Linked DNA regions of Mus musculus. The protein of the gene in region 2 interacts with the protein of the main gene of each other region in a pairwise test. Links are inferred from orthologs where the notes say so. Each region holds a gene or a part of one and is shown on either strand. Other genes may lie near its edges.

The links. The genes of interacting proteins can lie anywhere in the genome.
Region 1: the proteins of Trim32 (region 2) and Ptcd2 interact in binary tests that used the Homo sapiens proteins (3 or more experiments, as listed by UniProt). The two-hybrid records come from large-scale screens. The link is inferred for Mus musculus from reciprocal best matches to the Homo sapiens genes TRIM32 and PTCD2.

The regions. Positions count from the first base shown.
Region 1 is NC_000079.6:99,320,635-99,324,284, reverse strand, and holds part of Ptcd2 (pentatricopeptide repeat-containing protein 2, mitochondrial), read left to right. Parts: intron 1-2,610; coding exon 2,611-2,724; intron 2,725-3,650. UniProt on the Homo sapiens protein: Involved in mitochondrial RNA maturation and mitochondrial respiratory chain function.
Region 2 is NC_000070.6:65,611,365-65,615,014, forward strand, and holds part of Trim32 (E3 ubiquitin-protein ligase TRIM32), read left to right. Parts: intron 1-1,764; 5' UTR 1,765-1,843; coding exon 1,844-3,650. UniProt on the Homo sapiens protein: E3 ubiquitin ligase that plays a role in various biological processes including neural stem cell differentiation, innate immunity, inflammatory resonse and autophagy.

The DNA of each region.
Region 1 (3,650 bases), on a different chromosome or scaffold from region 2:
ATGTCCAATCTGAGTTCCTCATGTTGCATTATAAACCTGCTTCACCATCCTCCTGGGTTGATAAGGAAGAGACAGCTGACATTCACTGGGGAGGCTTGGCTTGCTCTTTTGAATGACAAACTGGCCTCAGCTTTCCCAAGGTTGTCACCTCCTTGGAATCTGTAAACAGTTTGTTAGCCTGACAAAAGGCTGTCCAGAGAGAGCGCAGTCAGTATCAGCAAATACAGATGGGGGCTCTCTTTTGTTTGGTCTGTTTTAAAAATGGGTGTGTTATATTACAATATGTTGCTTCTAATCCCTGAATTAGAGTTTGAACTTACATAACCCACCCACCCCCAACAGAATTTTATATCTGACTTGCATCTGCTGCCTCTATGACCCAGAGGGCCTGGTTCCTTATTTTCCCAGCTGGTACTTGCCACATCCTGCATTAATTTAGCCTATGATCTCATCGGGACACACGCATGTTCACTCCCCTGTCAGTCTCAAGAGAACCACAGGCCTTCTGAGCAATGCCACTTGACATCACAGATGAGTTCCCACTGCAGATACATCTGAAAGCCGCGAGGCCAGGGTGGGGCACTCTGTGATTGCATTTGGATATCTATCATCTCTCCAGAAAGCTGGCACACGACTTTAGAGACTCATTTGGAAGACAGTTTACCTTGCAGAGGTGCTGACAAGTGGCTAGCCTGCCCACTGCACTCGTGTGTGTGCTAAGACAGGTTAGGCCTTTAATACCGTGAAGTTCTTGGGGACCAAAATAGCCCTCCCCCGATGAGCTGCTTGGCTTGAGGTTTGCTTCTGTCTCTCAGGAGTCTGTTTATTGGAGGCTTGACCCTTACTGTGGTGGGAATGAGGTAGGAGACCTCTAAGAGGCAGCGCCTACATGAGGCTCCCTCCTTATGTGAGGAGCGGTTGGCAGTTAATGGTGTTTGGAAGAGGCAGAGGCTCTTCTCTTGAGGAAGTGTAGCCAGTGACATATTATATAAGCCACATACTTGTAGAAAGGCGTGTTGGGAAGAGGCAGGGTTCCAGAGGGAGTGGTAGGGGAGAAGGGAATGGAAGGCTCGACGTGGCCAAGAGTCATTATATACATGTGTGAGATATTTAGAGGGTGGCACCGAGGTCACAGGGGTGTGCTCTCAGGAGGGAGGAAGCCTTGCCAGGCCCCACCATCTGCCCTATACGGGCTTGAACACCTTCCCGAGCCGAGCTCAGGCTAGCTCCATGGCCTGCACCTCCAGCACCTTCCCGAGCCGAGCTCAGGCTAGCTCCATGGCCTGAACCTCCAGCACCTTCCCGAGCCGAGCTCAGGCTAGCTCCATGGCCTGCACCTCCAGCACCTTCCCGAGCCGAGCTCAGGCTAGCTCCATGGCCTGCACTCCAGCACCTTCCCGAGCCGAGCTCAGGCTAGCTCCATGGCCTGCACCTCCAGCACCTTCCCGAGCCGAGCTCAGGCTAGCTCCATGGCCTGCACTCCAGCACCTTCCCGAGCCGAGCTCAGGCTAGCTCCATGGCCTGCACCTCCAGCACCTTCCCGAGCCGAGCTCAGACTAGCTCCATGGCCTGCACCTCCAGCACCTTCCCGAGCCGAGCTCAGGCTAGCTCCATGGCCTGCACCTCCAGCACTTGGAGTGAATGAGCTTCCCCCCTTCTGAAGCATCGGTTCTGTTACGACAGTAAAGATGCAAATATCCCAGCACACAGGCAAGACTGAAGAAGGGGGAAACAAAATGGCTAGTGTAGGGTGGAAGGGTAACACTGCCTCTCACAAGGACCCCGGCTTCAAAAGCGGTTATTCCTTTTGCTTTAATAATTTCATCAAGTCCAAGAAATTGCCAGGTTTTTATTTTAATGTACACATCAGTCATATAAAACAACATGGTTTATTTCCATGATTAATTGCTATGCATTCATTCAATATGATGTTTTTTTCCAATTATTTCTTGTGTTACACATTATTTAGTAGCTGACAAAGGAAAGATCCAATTTTACAGAAAATACATTTTGAAGATAACATCAAATTATAAACAGTGATTAACATTGGTTGATGAATTCTCAGTTATTCTCATTTTTAAAACCTTTTCTCCTGTGTCTCACATTGTCCTAGTGAGTACTGATAATTACAGGTGAAATGAGCCTTGCTTTTCCATGTGCTGTGTGTGTCGGGCTGATAGGAATTCGTTAGCAATGTCATTTTGAAAACTTGGTGCCTAGTTTTGAAGGGTCTTTAATGGGTACAGTGTAAGTAGGCTTCACTGAGACATCAGCCAGGGTTTAAAGTTGGGGTATTTATTTTGTTTTCTTGTGTGTGTGTGTGTGTGTGTGTGTGTGTGTGTGTGTGTGTGTTTTCTTTTGTGGAATTCAGGAATCAAACTCAAGACTGGTGTATGAAGCACCTCTGATATGAGCTTCCTCTCTAGTCCCACTATGGCGATGTCATTATCTATATTAAAGTACATTTTGGCTGATGAGTGTACATGCAAAGCACTTAAAAAACATGTATATGCTAACGAATTAGGGAATAGTATTTAAAAGGGGTGCCTGTCAGCTCAGGCGTACCTCAGCATTGAAATGCCAGCTCAGTCTTCTCTGGTTTTTATTCAGATCTTGATCCACATCCAGTCAAATATGTTGGAAAGCCTGTTAAAGATCTTAGAGGACTCTCTTGACACAAATTTATCGAAATTTGTAAGAAGACACACATTCTCAGAGGAAGTGGTAAGTGTGCCAACGCTGCAGGTGACACCGAGTGCAAGCTCACGTGCTCACCTGGTGTTCCGGTCCCGAGACCACCTGTGCAGCAAGAGGCCAGACACAGCAGTCTCTCTTGCGTGGCTTTTGGACTTCTCAGGTCCCTCCCATGTTGCTCTCTCCCTGTACTATTCTATAGGTCCCTTCCCTCCTCTGAATAATGACTTCACACCTTTTCAGTTTTCTCTCAAGTATCCATACCTTTCCCTTGCTCCTCGCTCTCAGGTAACCCTTGCTTCCTTTGGTGGGAGGAAATAGAAGCAAACTGAAGAAAGCGACTAGCACACTATCAGCCATTCAGATTTTGAGCTGACCCATTTTTGCAGGGTTAGTGATGGACCTGAGGCTGCTGTTGAGAGCTCTGGTCCATATAATAGACCTGTCAGTGGCCTCCTTGGCATGTCCACCCCAATGTTTCACCTCCAGAATAGAATTATGGATCGTTCATCCAATTTTGGATCTCCCTCTCCTCCCCATAACACTCCCTCTCAGTGTCCATCGTCACGTTGCTAAGACCCAAGTTAGGAGGGTGACATTGATCCCCTTCCTTCAGCTCCTTAGAGGGAGTCCTTCACTGTCACCCCACAGTGTGCCCCATGTGCAGTCACCTCCGCATCTCCTGTGCTTCTCCCAGTCCCAGTCACCGTTTGTTCTCTGGGCTTATTCTCTGTGCAGCTTGTGAAGTCTCCATCAGACAGTCACCCTCGCCATCCCTGTGGCTTTTAGGTGAATCCCAAGCACCATTCTGTGCACTGCGTGAAGCCCTGTATAACCTACCCCACTCACTGCCCTTGCTCTCTGTGTAACCTGTCCCACCTATTGCCCTTACTCCCTGTATAACCTGCCCCACCCACCGCCCTTACTCCCTGTATAACCTGCCCCACCCACCGCCC
Region 2 (3,650 bases):
TTCGCTCCACTCTGTTGGCTGACTCAGCTAGATGATTGTTCATTCTTTTAGGGAGAAAAGTATGTTTTAAAGGCAGTGCGTCCTAGAGCAGAGTCGAGAGCACTCTTTAATAAATAACTGAAAGACATTTAAAAAAAAAAAAAGAAAACTTGGAAGTAATGTTGGGGTAAAAATAAGTCAAAGTACTATGTTTGACCGCTGAGACCTTGAGCTCGTTTTTTCAAAACTTCAATGCTCTCATTGCCAAAGTGGGACAGTAAAATTCTTACCACGTTTCCACAATGAGGATTAAGCGAGAATAAGCATGCACAGTATTGTGTATCACATAGTAGGTACTAGGATACCAGAGCAATTTTCTGCCTATAGAGGGACGTCCTAGAGGTAAATGTGACCCCTTCCCTTCACACACACACACACACACACACACACACACACACACACACACACACACACACACACATACACAGAGTCCTTTTCATCCTTAAGCATACCAGTTCCTTGCTGCTAAGCGCTTGCTTGCCCTAGCATACCCTTCACAAAGAATGTCCCACGTTACTTGCACATGAAAGTCACTTTGTCCTTAAGCTCTCTAATCATCCTCAAATGGTTAGATCTCTGTGCATCTCCTAGCCCCTGCTCTGTTTTCCTACAGTTTTCACATAAGGCTAAGAGGGAACCGAAGTTCACTAAGGACCTTTCTGGTGCAGATGTGATCCTTCGGTAAACCCAGGAAAGGATATGCTGTCTCCATTTTACAGATGCAGAATTTTAGATAGACCAAGCGTCCCCTGTTCTTCGTCCCAATTGACAGAACTCTGTGCTTGCCATCTGCTTTCTCGGCTGTATTCAGGCTATGCCCTCCGCCTAGTGTTTCGTTCTCCCGTCTCATTTCTGTGCCCTTGCAGGCTGAAATGAGTGCTCCAGCCTCTCCGAAATTCCATTTTTCTTTAAGTAAAAATGAGTCTACTTTCCTATCTATCAGAATGGGTCTGCCTTGATTCCTAACTTACATACTCGCCTTGCTAAAGCAGAGCAGGCTGGGTATGCTGAAATGTAATGTCTTGGTTCTTTCTGATGCCTAGACTGCTATGGGTGGCTAGGTTGGAAGATGAACAAATGAAAAATGTGTAACACGCCCCACCCCCCGCCCCCCATCTGATGGTTTGCAGGTTGCTTAAAGGCAATCATCAGAATTTTCTCTCTGAGTGAAACATCAGAGGCCATCAACTGTGATGGAATGAAAAGGCTTGGACCCCAAACTTACACAGTGTTCTTTGCGTACAGTTCCTGTATGTGTCATCGCCTCTAAGATTTGTAAGACTTCTCTTACAAGGAGCACCATTTATGAGTAGCCTTACCCAGTTGTCAGGCTCCATCCCTCTTCCCACTGTACCTCACAGTGTAGACCTTCATGTGACATTCTCTGATCGGCAGGGTTATTCTCTGCTTTCCTGCTTGTATGTCATATTATTTAACCCTTCCAGTAATGGTATAAGATAGGCAATTTAGGCTCTTCCCTGAATTCCTCCATAACATAATGCATTAATCATTTGTGTGTGTGTGTGTGTGTGTGTGTGTGTGTGTGTATGTAAGGGGAGGGGGGTGGGAGAGACACTATTTCCTAAGTCATAATCACTGCAATAAAATGCTTATAAATAAGTAAATGATTCAATGGATGATTATAGCTATTCTCTAAGTGTTTCTAGACTGAAATAACTTATATGGGAGTAGAAAAATGAATAATGGTTTGTTTTTTCTCTTTAGCAGGAATCTGACACTGGGGCATGAATATTAAGCTGTGTGGCTCTAAGCTGTGTTAGCAGGAACCTTCACTGGAAGAGCAATGGCTGCGGCTGCAGCAGCTTCTCACCTGAACCTGGATGCCCTCCGGGAAGTGCTAGAATGTCCCATCTGCATGGAGTCCTTCACTGAAGAGCAGCTGCGACCCAAGCTGCTGCACTGTGGCCATACCATCTGCCGCCAGTGTCTGGAGAAGCTCCTGGCCAGCAGCATCAATGGCGTCCGCTGCCCCTTTTGCAGCAAGATTACTCGCATCACCAGCCTGACCCAGCTGACCGACAACCTGACGGTGCTGAAGATCATTGACACAGCTGGGCTCAGTGAGGCCGTCGGCCTGCTCATGTGCCGAGGCTGTGGCCGGCGGCTGCCTCGGCAGTTCTGCCGAAGCTGTGGTGTGGTGTTGTGTGAACCCTGCCGGGAGGCAGATCACCAACCCCCTGGCCACTGCACACTTCCGGTCAAGGAGGCAGCTGAGGAGCGGCGGAGGGACTTCGGGGAGAAGTTGACTCGTCTAAGGGAACTTACTGGAGAGCTGCAGAGGAGGAAGGCAGCCTTGGAGGGCGTCTCCAGGGATCTTCAGGCAAGGTATAAGGCTGTTCTTCAAGAATATGGCCATGAGGAACGCCGCATCCAGGAAGAGCTAGCCCGCTCTCGGAAGTTCTTCACAGGCTCCTTGGCTGAGGTTGAGAAGTCCAACAGTCAAGTGGTAGAGGAGCAGAGCTACCTACTCAACATTGCTGAGGTGCAGGCCGTGTCTCGCTGTGACTACTTTCTAGCGAAGATCAAGCAAGCTGATGTAGCCCTCCTGGAGGAGACAGCGGATGAGGAGGAGCCCGAGCTCACTGCCAGCCTACCCCGGGAGCTTACCCTGCAAGATGTGGAGCTCCTTAAGGTAGGACACGTTGGTCCTCTGCAAATTGGCCAGGCTGTTAAGAAGCCCCGGACAGTTAACATGGAAGATTCCTGGGCAGGGGAGGAGGGAGCAGCATCTTCTGCCTCAGCCTCGGTAACCTTTAGAGAGATGGACATGAGCCCTGAGGAAGTAGCTCCCAGCCCTAGGGCTTCCCCCGCGAAACAGCGGAGTTCTGAGGCAGCTTCCGGTATCCAGCAGTGTCTGTTTCTCAAGAAGATGGGGGCGAAAGGCAGCACTCCCGGCATGTTCAATCTTCCAGTCAGTCTCTATGTGACCAGTCAGAGTGAGGTGCTGGTTGCCGACCGGGGCAACTATCGTATCCAAGTGTTCAACCGCAAAGGCTTTTTGAAGGAGATCCGCCGCAGCCCCAGCGGCATTGATAGCTTCGTGCTAAGCTTCCTTGGAGCCGACTTGCCCAATCTCACTCCACTTTCAGTGGCCATGAACTGCCATGGGCTGATTGGTGTCACTGATAGCTACGACAACTCCCTTAAAGTCTATACCATGGATGGCCACTGTGTGGCCTGTCACAGGAGCCAGCTGAGCAAACCATGGGGCATCACAGCCCTACCATCTGGCCAGTTTGTGGTGACTGACGTGGAAGGCGGGAAGCTCTGGTGTTTCACTGTAGACCGAGGAGCAGGAGTGGTCAAATACAGCTGCCTCTGCAGTGCTGTGAGGCCCAAGTTTGTCACCTGTGATGCTGAAGGCACAGTCTACTTCACCCAAGGCTTGGGGCTCAATGTGGAAAACCGACAGAATGAACACCACCTGGAGGGTGGCTTCTCCATCGGTTCTGTTGGCCCCGATGGGCAGCTGGGCCGGCAAATCAGCCACTTCTTCTCTGAGAATGAAGATTTCCGCTGCATCGCTGGCATGTGTGTAGATGCTCGGGGCGACCTCATTGTGGCAGATAGCAGCCGCAAGGAAATTCTCC